Ovis aries: one gene and its partner. The protein of the gene in region 1 purifies or fractionates together with the protein of each later gene. This does not show direct contact. Links are inferred from orthologs where the notes say so. Each region holds a gene or a part of one and is shown on either strand. Other genes may lie near its edges. The genes, in order: POP4 and RPP25.

The links.
Region 2: the proteins of POP4 (region 1) and RPP25 purify together in Homo sapiens (affinity purification with mass spectrometry; 3 studies listed by BioGRID and IntAct, counting the BioPlex papers as one, with this or other methods). This does not show direct contact. The link is inferred for Ovis aries from reciprocal best matches to the Homo sapiens genes POP4 and RPP25.

What each region holds. Positions count from the first base shown.
Region 1 is NC_056067.1:39,744,262-39,748,069, reverse strand, and holds part of POP4 (ribonuclease P protein subunit p29), read right to left. Parts: intron 2,728-3,808; coding exon 2,626-2,727; intron 1,680-2,625; coding exon 1,543-1,679; 3' UTR 1-1,542. UniProt on the Homo sapiens protein: Component of ribonuclease P, a ribonucleoprotein complex that generates mature tRNA molecules by cleaving their 5'-ends.
Region 2 is NC_056071.1:31,412,797-31,416,265, forward strand, and holds RPP25 (ribonuclease P protein subunit p25), read left to right. Parts: upstream 1-1,357; 5' UTR 1,358-1,514; coding exon 1,515-2,147; 3' UTR 2,148-2,796; downstream 2,797-3,469. UniProt on the Homo sapiens protein: Component of ribonuclease P, a ribonucleoprotein complex that generates mature tRNA molecules by cleaving their 5'-ends. Also a component of the MRP ribonuclease complex, which cleaves pre-rRNA sequences.

The DNA of each region.
Region 1 (3,808 bases):
ATAAAGGATGCACTCTTGAGGTATCTTCCCATCCTAAAACACATGGCTCCGGAGCTGGACTATAGGGTTCAAATCCCAGCTTCACCTCTCTCAGGTGGTGAGGCCCCAGGCAAGCCAGTGCTCTGAGTGTCTTTGTGGCCACAACCAATAGCTGTCACTGGGTCAGGATGCCCCGTCTGAGGTGGTGCTGGGAACTGTGCTCCAAACCACAGGCAGCAGTGGCTAGACTGTGGAGAACACCCCAGGAGACTCAGACCCTCCGGGTAAGTGAGGGACAGCACGTGCAGACGGAAGCGGGGTCGAGCTGCCAGGCATGAATGACCGTGGGAGACTCTCGGTGGGCTCAGCCTTCAGGAGGCACAGCTAGGCCTTCTCGCTGTCCAGTTAACGTGAAACCAGCGTTTACGCTCCTCTTATCGTGTTTCTCGTCCCGTGAGGATACTGAGCAGGAAGTGCTGAGAAAGCAAAGCTCTGGCACTGCTGCTTCTCTTGGCGTGGAAGCAAAAGGCATGTGGATGTGCCCCCAGTTTGTCATCAGGAAGCTTCTGCCTTCACCTTGTTGACCGGCAAACACCTGCTGCTCAAAGGAAAGGGGTGACAGGGTCTTCTAAGCCACATGGCTTTTTTAATAGCAGACCTGGAAGGCTGGTCCCCACCCTGTTCTCATTCGGCTGGTTTGTACTCAGGCCTGCGTAGAAGGGCCCCAGCTACTGGCCCACGGGCACACTGCCCGCAGGCCTGGGGTCAGACTGGAGAGCCATGCTTTTTGGCAGCAAAAATGGAACTAAGAGTCACCGAAGGCGGCACCGTTGGGGACTCAGGCTTCCTTGCAGGTTAGACCTTGGCAAAGGCTGTAGTCTTATTTTCCCCTCAGTCCCCCTTCCTCTGGAGCCTAACAGACTCAGGAATTGAGAACACTCCATAGGCTTAAGCTCCCTGTACTGGAACTTTCTTCTGCTTTCTAGAAACAGCAAAGTAAACCGTGGTTAGGTCAGAGCTTGACAGAAGGCATGATTTAAAGTAACGCGTCGAAGATGCAGGGCACCTCTGAACTACTGCACTCGGAGCCTCATGGCACCGAGAGCAAAAGGCACAGGCCAGGGGCAGCCTCAGGCCTCTCTTCCCTTCCATCCTGGCTGTGCTGCAGGAATCACTCCTGTGGCCTGTTCACGCCCACATGCATATTTTATTATCACACAAACTACTGATTTATCAAACAACATTCTGAAAACACAGAAAAGTATGAAAAGAAAAACCAAATAAACTATTTAGGTCAACTTGTGTTAATCCTGGTGCTTTCTGCCAATCTTTTCTCTCCATGGGAGTAATATAAAAGCAAGAGCATCTATAAAGACACATCCCTCTGGTCCCTGAATTCTGTGCTCAGTACAGTGCTTCTTCCCAGATGACTCAATGTCCTTACGCTGATTTAAACTGGCTGGAAGTGGTCTATGACCAGAACTGGCCTGACCAGCTCTTCCCTGAAAGGTGGATGTTTCCAGTCTTTGGCTGGCATAAATAATCCCCTTAGGCAGCAACAGCTCACAGGTCAATTGTTCCCTTGGCTTTGAACTTTTTTGCAGACCGCTCACTTGACCGCAGCTGGAATTTGCTACCATAAATGTAGGAAATAAAGCCATCGATCTCCACAGTGAACACACAGTTTAGCTTGGGGATAACTGAAAAAAAGTGAGAGAAAAAGGATAAGGAAAAAAATCCTGGCAGTAAGTTCACTTTTACAGAAACTATTATTCCCAAGATGTTTGTATTAGACAATAAACAAAGCGACTAGGGAAAACATTAGGAAATGCAGGAACCCACAAAGTTAACAATACCAGGATGAAGGTGATGATTCCACCAGGCAGCCAATTTACTCACATTTTAAATATAACTCAACACCTAGTTTTCAGGGTGAAAGGCTATGAACCAAACTTCCAGAATCAAAAGCTCCTAGAAAAACTGCCAGAAACAGGTCTTACCACATAACCTGCAGACAGACTCATGGGGTTATGCTTCTGGGGAAACCTGTACACCACTTTCTGAGGTTTAAAATGACAGCGGAGGAATATATAGGGAAATGGAAGCAAGCTGCAAGACACCCACGGGTCAAAAATTAAAGGAGCAACCCCCCTGTGGTTTTGAAGTCTCTGGATTCGTGGGCAAGGCAGGGGGTGGGAATCCTGGCAGGCCAGGCGCTCCTCTGCCAGAGTGGTGAGCACGACAGACAGGCGAGGGGGGACTTGCCTCCCCGGATCCCAGGGCGCGGGCTCTGGGAACTCCAGGGGCAGGCGCTGCCTTGGCTTCCTCCCTACTAGCTCTCTGGCTATAATTTTCTGGGAGGCAGCAGCCTTTGGGCAGGTGGAGGGTCCCAGTCCTGGAAACAGACCCAGGTGTCTGGAGGCACAGCCAAGCCACCCTCCCTTTCCTTGATCATGTCTGGCCATGGTGGCTGGGCTGACGAGTGTCTCAGGGAGAGCCCAGGGTGCCAGGATGGTCTTTGTAGGCTTGACATGTACGATAGGCAGGGATCTGCTGACTCGAAAGGCCAAACTACCTTTAGAGTCCTGAGGAAAGTGCCAATGAGTTGGCTGGGGCGGCCACAGCCACGGCCATCCAGTCACGTACCTTTCAGGCGGTCTTCTTTAGTGATGATTTTGAAAACATGCTTTGTCTCTTGTAGAAGGATCCCTGTAACACCCACATAGGAGGGGCACTTGGATTTTGTAACTGCAAAGGAAAAGGGCAGTGCAGGGCTCAGGCCTCTGTGCTGTTAGCGGAGCCACAGGCAGCCAGACCTGTCGGGGATGAGGGCTCTGTTCCCAACCTTGAGCCAGCAGAGGAAGAAAGGACACCAGGCGGGGCGTGGTGAGGGGCAGCACTCCGATCCTAAGTGTTGGCGACTCCGCTGGGCATGGACAAACCCAGGTTTCCCAGTCCCTTACTGGGGCGTTATAGTCTCTGTGCTGCTCTGGTAAGGTGTCCTTCAGAGGGCCTGCTGCCACAGGGGTCCTAGGCAGGATTTTGGAGCCAAGAGGTCGCACATGTATCCAATACCACCAAGACCCACAGTTGGGTTGCTCTGGCAAGGCCAGGTCTCACTTATAGGACCTAAGTGAACACCTGTTCACCATGGTCTTCCTGTAACCTCCTACGCTCTGGCCAGAATGGGCGGCCACTCCAGGTCACCCAGCAGTGAGCTGCCACCACGGCAACAGGCCCCTCACCTCCTCCAACCCATCTCCCATGTAGCCAGTACATGGTCACGGAACACCTGCTGTGTGTCTGGCACTGTCCTAGGCAGGTGCTGGGCACAGCAGTGAAAAGGGCAGTCCTGGGTCCTGCTCTCAAGAAGCTGTTGTTCTAATGGGGGAGGGGTAACAAATACAGATAGCTTTATTTTCTGATAGTGATGAGTGCTATGAAAAAAAACAAGGGCAGGGTAATGGGGGAGAGAGGTCATCTTTAGTAATGGTAGACCCCTGGGAAGTGACATCTGAACAGAGACCCAAATAACGAGAAAGAATCCTGTGAGCACAAAGAACTCCTGGCCAGAGGGAAGAAGCAAATGCTAAGACCCTGAGGCAGGGCCAGGCCTGGTGAGCAGAAAGCTGGTCAGTGTGGTTAGACTTGCTGCCCAAGGAGACTGCACAGGCTGTTTGGACCACAGTAAAGAGGCAGAAAGGACAGGACTTTTTCAGTTAAAAAAATCCTCCCTCTGGCTGCCTGGTCAGGGGAGGAGCAGTGTGTTGGTAGGAAGAGGGTTAGGCGGCTCTGCAATAATCCAGGGGAGGAGCGGTGGCTTAGATTC
Region 2 (3,469 bases), on another chromosome or scaffold:
AGGAGAGGAGGGGGACCCCAGCAGCCCCGTCTCAAGACTCGGCACCAGCTCTCCCAGGCACTGGGATGACCCCAGCACTTCAAGGGCTTCCTGTCCGCCGCAGCTATCAGGGCTCCACCCCGCCACGCCCCATCGTAGTCACCCCTACCCGGATCAGGTCTGGCCCACCTTCAGTTCTGTGTGTCCCGCGAGGGGTGGAAGGATGAAGGACGAGGCCCTGGGGCAGTTCTAGGAAGAATACAGCTGTATTCTTCACAAACCCGCTCTCTCTCATCAGCAGTCCTTTAAAGCCCAATCTCATCTCTCCCTTCACTGTCCATCTCTCCTGGAAAGAGATCCCGGGCCACTCCCTCGGTCTTGCGGAGTTCCAGGGGAGGGGCACCCGGTAACTGTCCCTGAGATTTCCGTTTCCCAGCTACCTCCCTTCTCCCTCAAAACCTGCTTTTACCCAGCCTCTTTTCTGAAAAGGACCCCACTGGGTCCCAGGGGGCCCGGTTGACTAACAACAAATTCCACCTGAGAAGAAAGGGGATCCACGTGAGCAGAGGACAATATCTGGCTTACTCTAGGGCATGCAGTTCTAATACTCGACTTTCAGGCATGGATGGAGGGAGCTTAACTCCTCTTGAGAAGGGAGTCTCATTGTTCTCGTCCCATTCATCCCAGGGCACAGCCTGGCCCAGAGCCTCGGTTCGCAGAGCAGGGGTGTCTGGGAGCCTTCAGCTCCGGTCAGGCGCGGCAAGCCTGAGACCTCAGTTCTCCGGTTGTCCTGCGAGGACCATGCCGAGACATAGTCGTCGAGGGCAGACGCGGAGCGGAGACGGCGCCTACTACACTCTGCTGACAGCGTGCAGGCTGTCCTTCAGGCGAGAAGAGAGGCTCGGGAGCGAAGGGATGGGGTGGGGGTGGGGGTGTCGTTCCTCTAGGAGTGGGAGAAAGAGGTCCCAGTCCCCAGAAGGCCGCTTTGAAATCTCTCATTGGGAGCGGGCAAGGGGTGGGTGGCCTTCAGCTGAACCGCGGAAGGGCTCGGGGACCCGGCTTGAAGCTGAGTTTGCCCAGCAAATGCAGTTTTTATTTAGGTTGCAGGTTTATGAAGGTAGGCTCAGGGAGGGCTGATGGTGATTATAGGGAAACTTCAGCTGGCAGGTCACTCCTGGCACTGCCATGGCATCCCGCGATGCGCGCACCTCCCAAACCCGGATATCAGAGGACCAGAGTGGATGCGGGCGAATTGCTGGTGAGGCTGGGCGCGAGCTGGCAGGGCTGGGTAAGGGGCGGGGCCCGGCGGCAGGGGCGGGGCTCCCAGGCTCTGAGGCGGGGCCTCAGCTAAAGGCGCGTAGCACAGGGCGCCGAGATCGCCGAGTAGAGCAGCGCCCAGTGGAGAGAAGTGGAAGGCTAGGATCGCACCGTCCCAATCGGCCAGCCAGCGTCCACGCCGCTCCCGCACCCTTAACCCTGCCGGCCCTTGCGGGACGCGACCCACCGACATGCATTCCCGGGGCTGAGGCGGCCCGATGGCGAAGCCCGCGTCCCCGCAACGACGGCGCATGGAGAACTTCCGTAAGGTGCGCTCCGAGGAGGCGCCGGTGGGGAGCGGGGAAAAGGAGGGCGGCCCAGGCTCAGGCCCCTTCGCCGACCTGGCGCCGGGCGCCGTGCATATGCGGGTCAAGGAGGGCAGCAAGATCCGGAACCTGCTGGCCTTCGCCACTGCCAGCATGGCGCAGCCAGCCACGCGCGCCATCGTCTTCAGCGGCTGCGGTCGAGCCACCACCAAAACCGTCACGTGTGCCGAGATCCTTAAGCGCCGCCTGGCGGGTCTGCATCAGGTCACGCGGCTGCGCTACCAGAGCGTGCGCGAGCTGTGGCAGAGCCTCCCTCCGGAGCCCACACCGGGGCAGAAGCCTGGCGAGCCAGCCGCCAGTCTCAGTGTACTTAAGAACGTGCCCAGCCTCGCCATCCTACTTTCCAAGGATGCCCTGGATCCGCGCCAACCCGGGTACCAGCCGCCGAACCCCCATCCCGGCCCCTCGTCCCAGCCAACTGCTCCGACGTCCAAGAGGAGTCTAGGGGAACCTACTGCTGGAGAGAGCTCCGCGAAGAGGTCACAACCCGAGCCAGGTGCTGCTGAAGAGGACCAGACCGCCTGAGAACTCCGGCCTCTGGGCCACCTGGACGGGCTGAATCCTACGCTCGAGCTTCGACCTTGAGATGCATCTCTAGCCTTTCACGCCTTGGTACTCTGGAACCTACAACGTGGAAGCATAGACCCCAAGGCGACAAGGGGGGACCCCAGGGAAGCTTCGTGGTGGGGTTGCTCCTCCAGCTGTGTTGCCTGACGACACTTTCAGCTTTTCTGAACCATACGGGGACCTTCTTCAGGGAGGGAATGGTGGGCAATGGGATTCTTGAGCCTTTAACCCCAAGGGTTAAAGGTTCATGTAGGATTCTTGAAGTGGGCTACGAAGGTGGAAGCTGAGGAGAGCTCTTGAAACCACCCCACCATTGTCAGCAGAGGGCAAAGGGTTGGAAACCACTGCTTGAGGGCGGGGGATTTTGAGTGGCAAGGGGTAAGGGGCTATTCTGCTCCTCACCCCAGGACAGTTTCTAGTTTTCCTTTCCCTGCTTTTAAGGAGCATCCTGAGATCATGGTGGCAGGGGCGTCTCCATAGGCTCTTTTAACATCCCACTTTCCCCATGCTGGCCCAGAGGGAGAGACCCAGGACAGAACTCTCCATGCCGCCTCCCCTGAGCCCCACAGCTGGAGTCTTGCTTCCAATAAAACAAACACAAAAAAGGCTCTGTCCCTGGGTTTTTTCCTAACCACTAGCCTGTGTAGAGACTGCTCTGGTCTGCCCCCTTGTGTCTCAGTCCCCTCCAGCCTGGAATCCTTAGCTTTTGGAGTCTTATGGGTCAGGCACAGAAACTGGACAGCTTTGAAATGGTGCTGGGAGCACCTTACCCAGTGCCTGGTTCCTCCCTCTTTCTCAGCCCTCCCTGGCTAGCTCCAGTAGCTTCAGGGCTTGTGGACAGAAGGGGACCTTGGTCACCTTATGTGCTACCACTAAGGGAAAGGGAGCAGCATACTGCTTTTCTGGAAGGGGGAGGAAGGGAAGCATCAATGAACTATCCTGGGGGTCACTGCCAAGGGTGGCAGATCCAACTGGGCTCCCTAAGCCTGCAGCCTCCTGCCAATAAACAGCCCTACCAGACGGCTGGCCCAGAGCCCCCCAGCCCCATGGATAGAATCTACCCTTCACTGCTCGCTCGCTCTCTCTGAGAAAGGACAGCACACCCTTGGGAGAGGGGGAGGAGAGACTGAGCACAAATCCACTGCTGGAAATTACTATTCAGCAGAGAAGCTGGGACTTGGGCTGTGAATCACTGCAGGCTCCCTGATAAGCTGCTGCCTCTGGCCCTGCACAGCTGTCTGTTGAGAGATAACAGCCTTATAAGCCTTTCTGCCCAACTC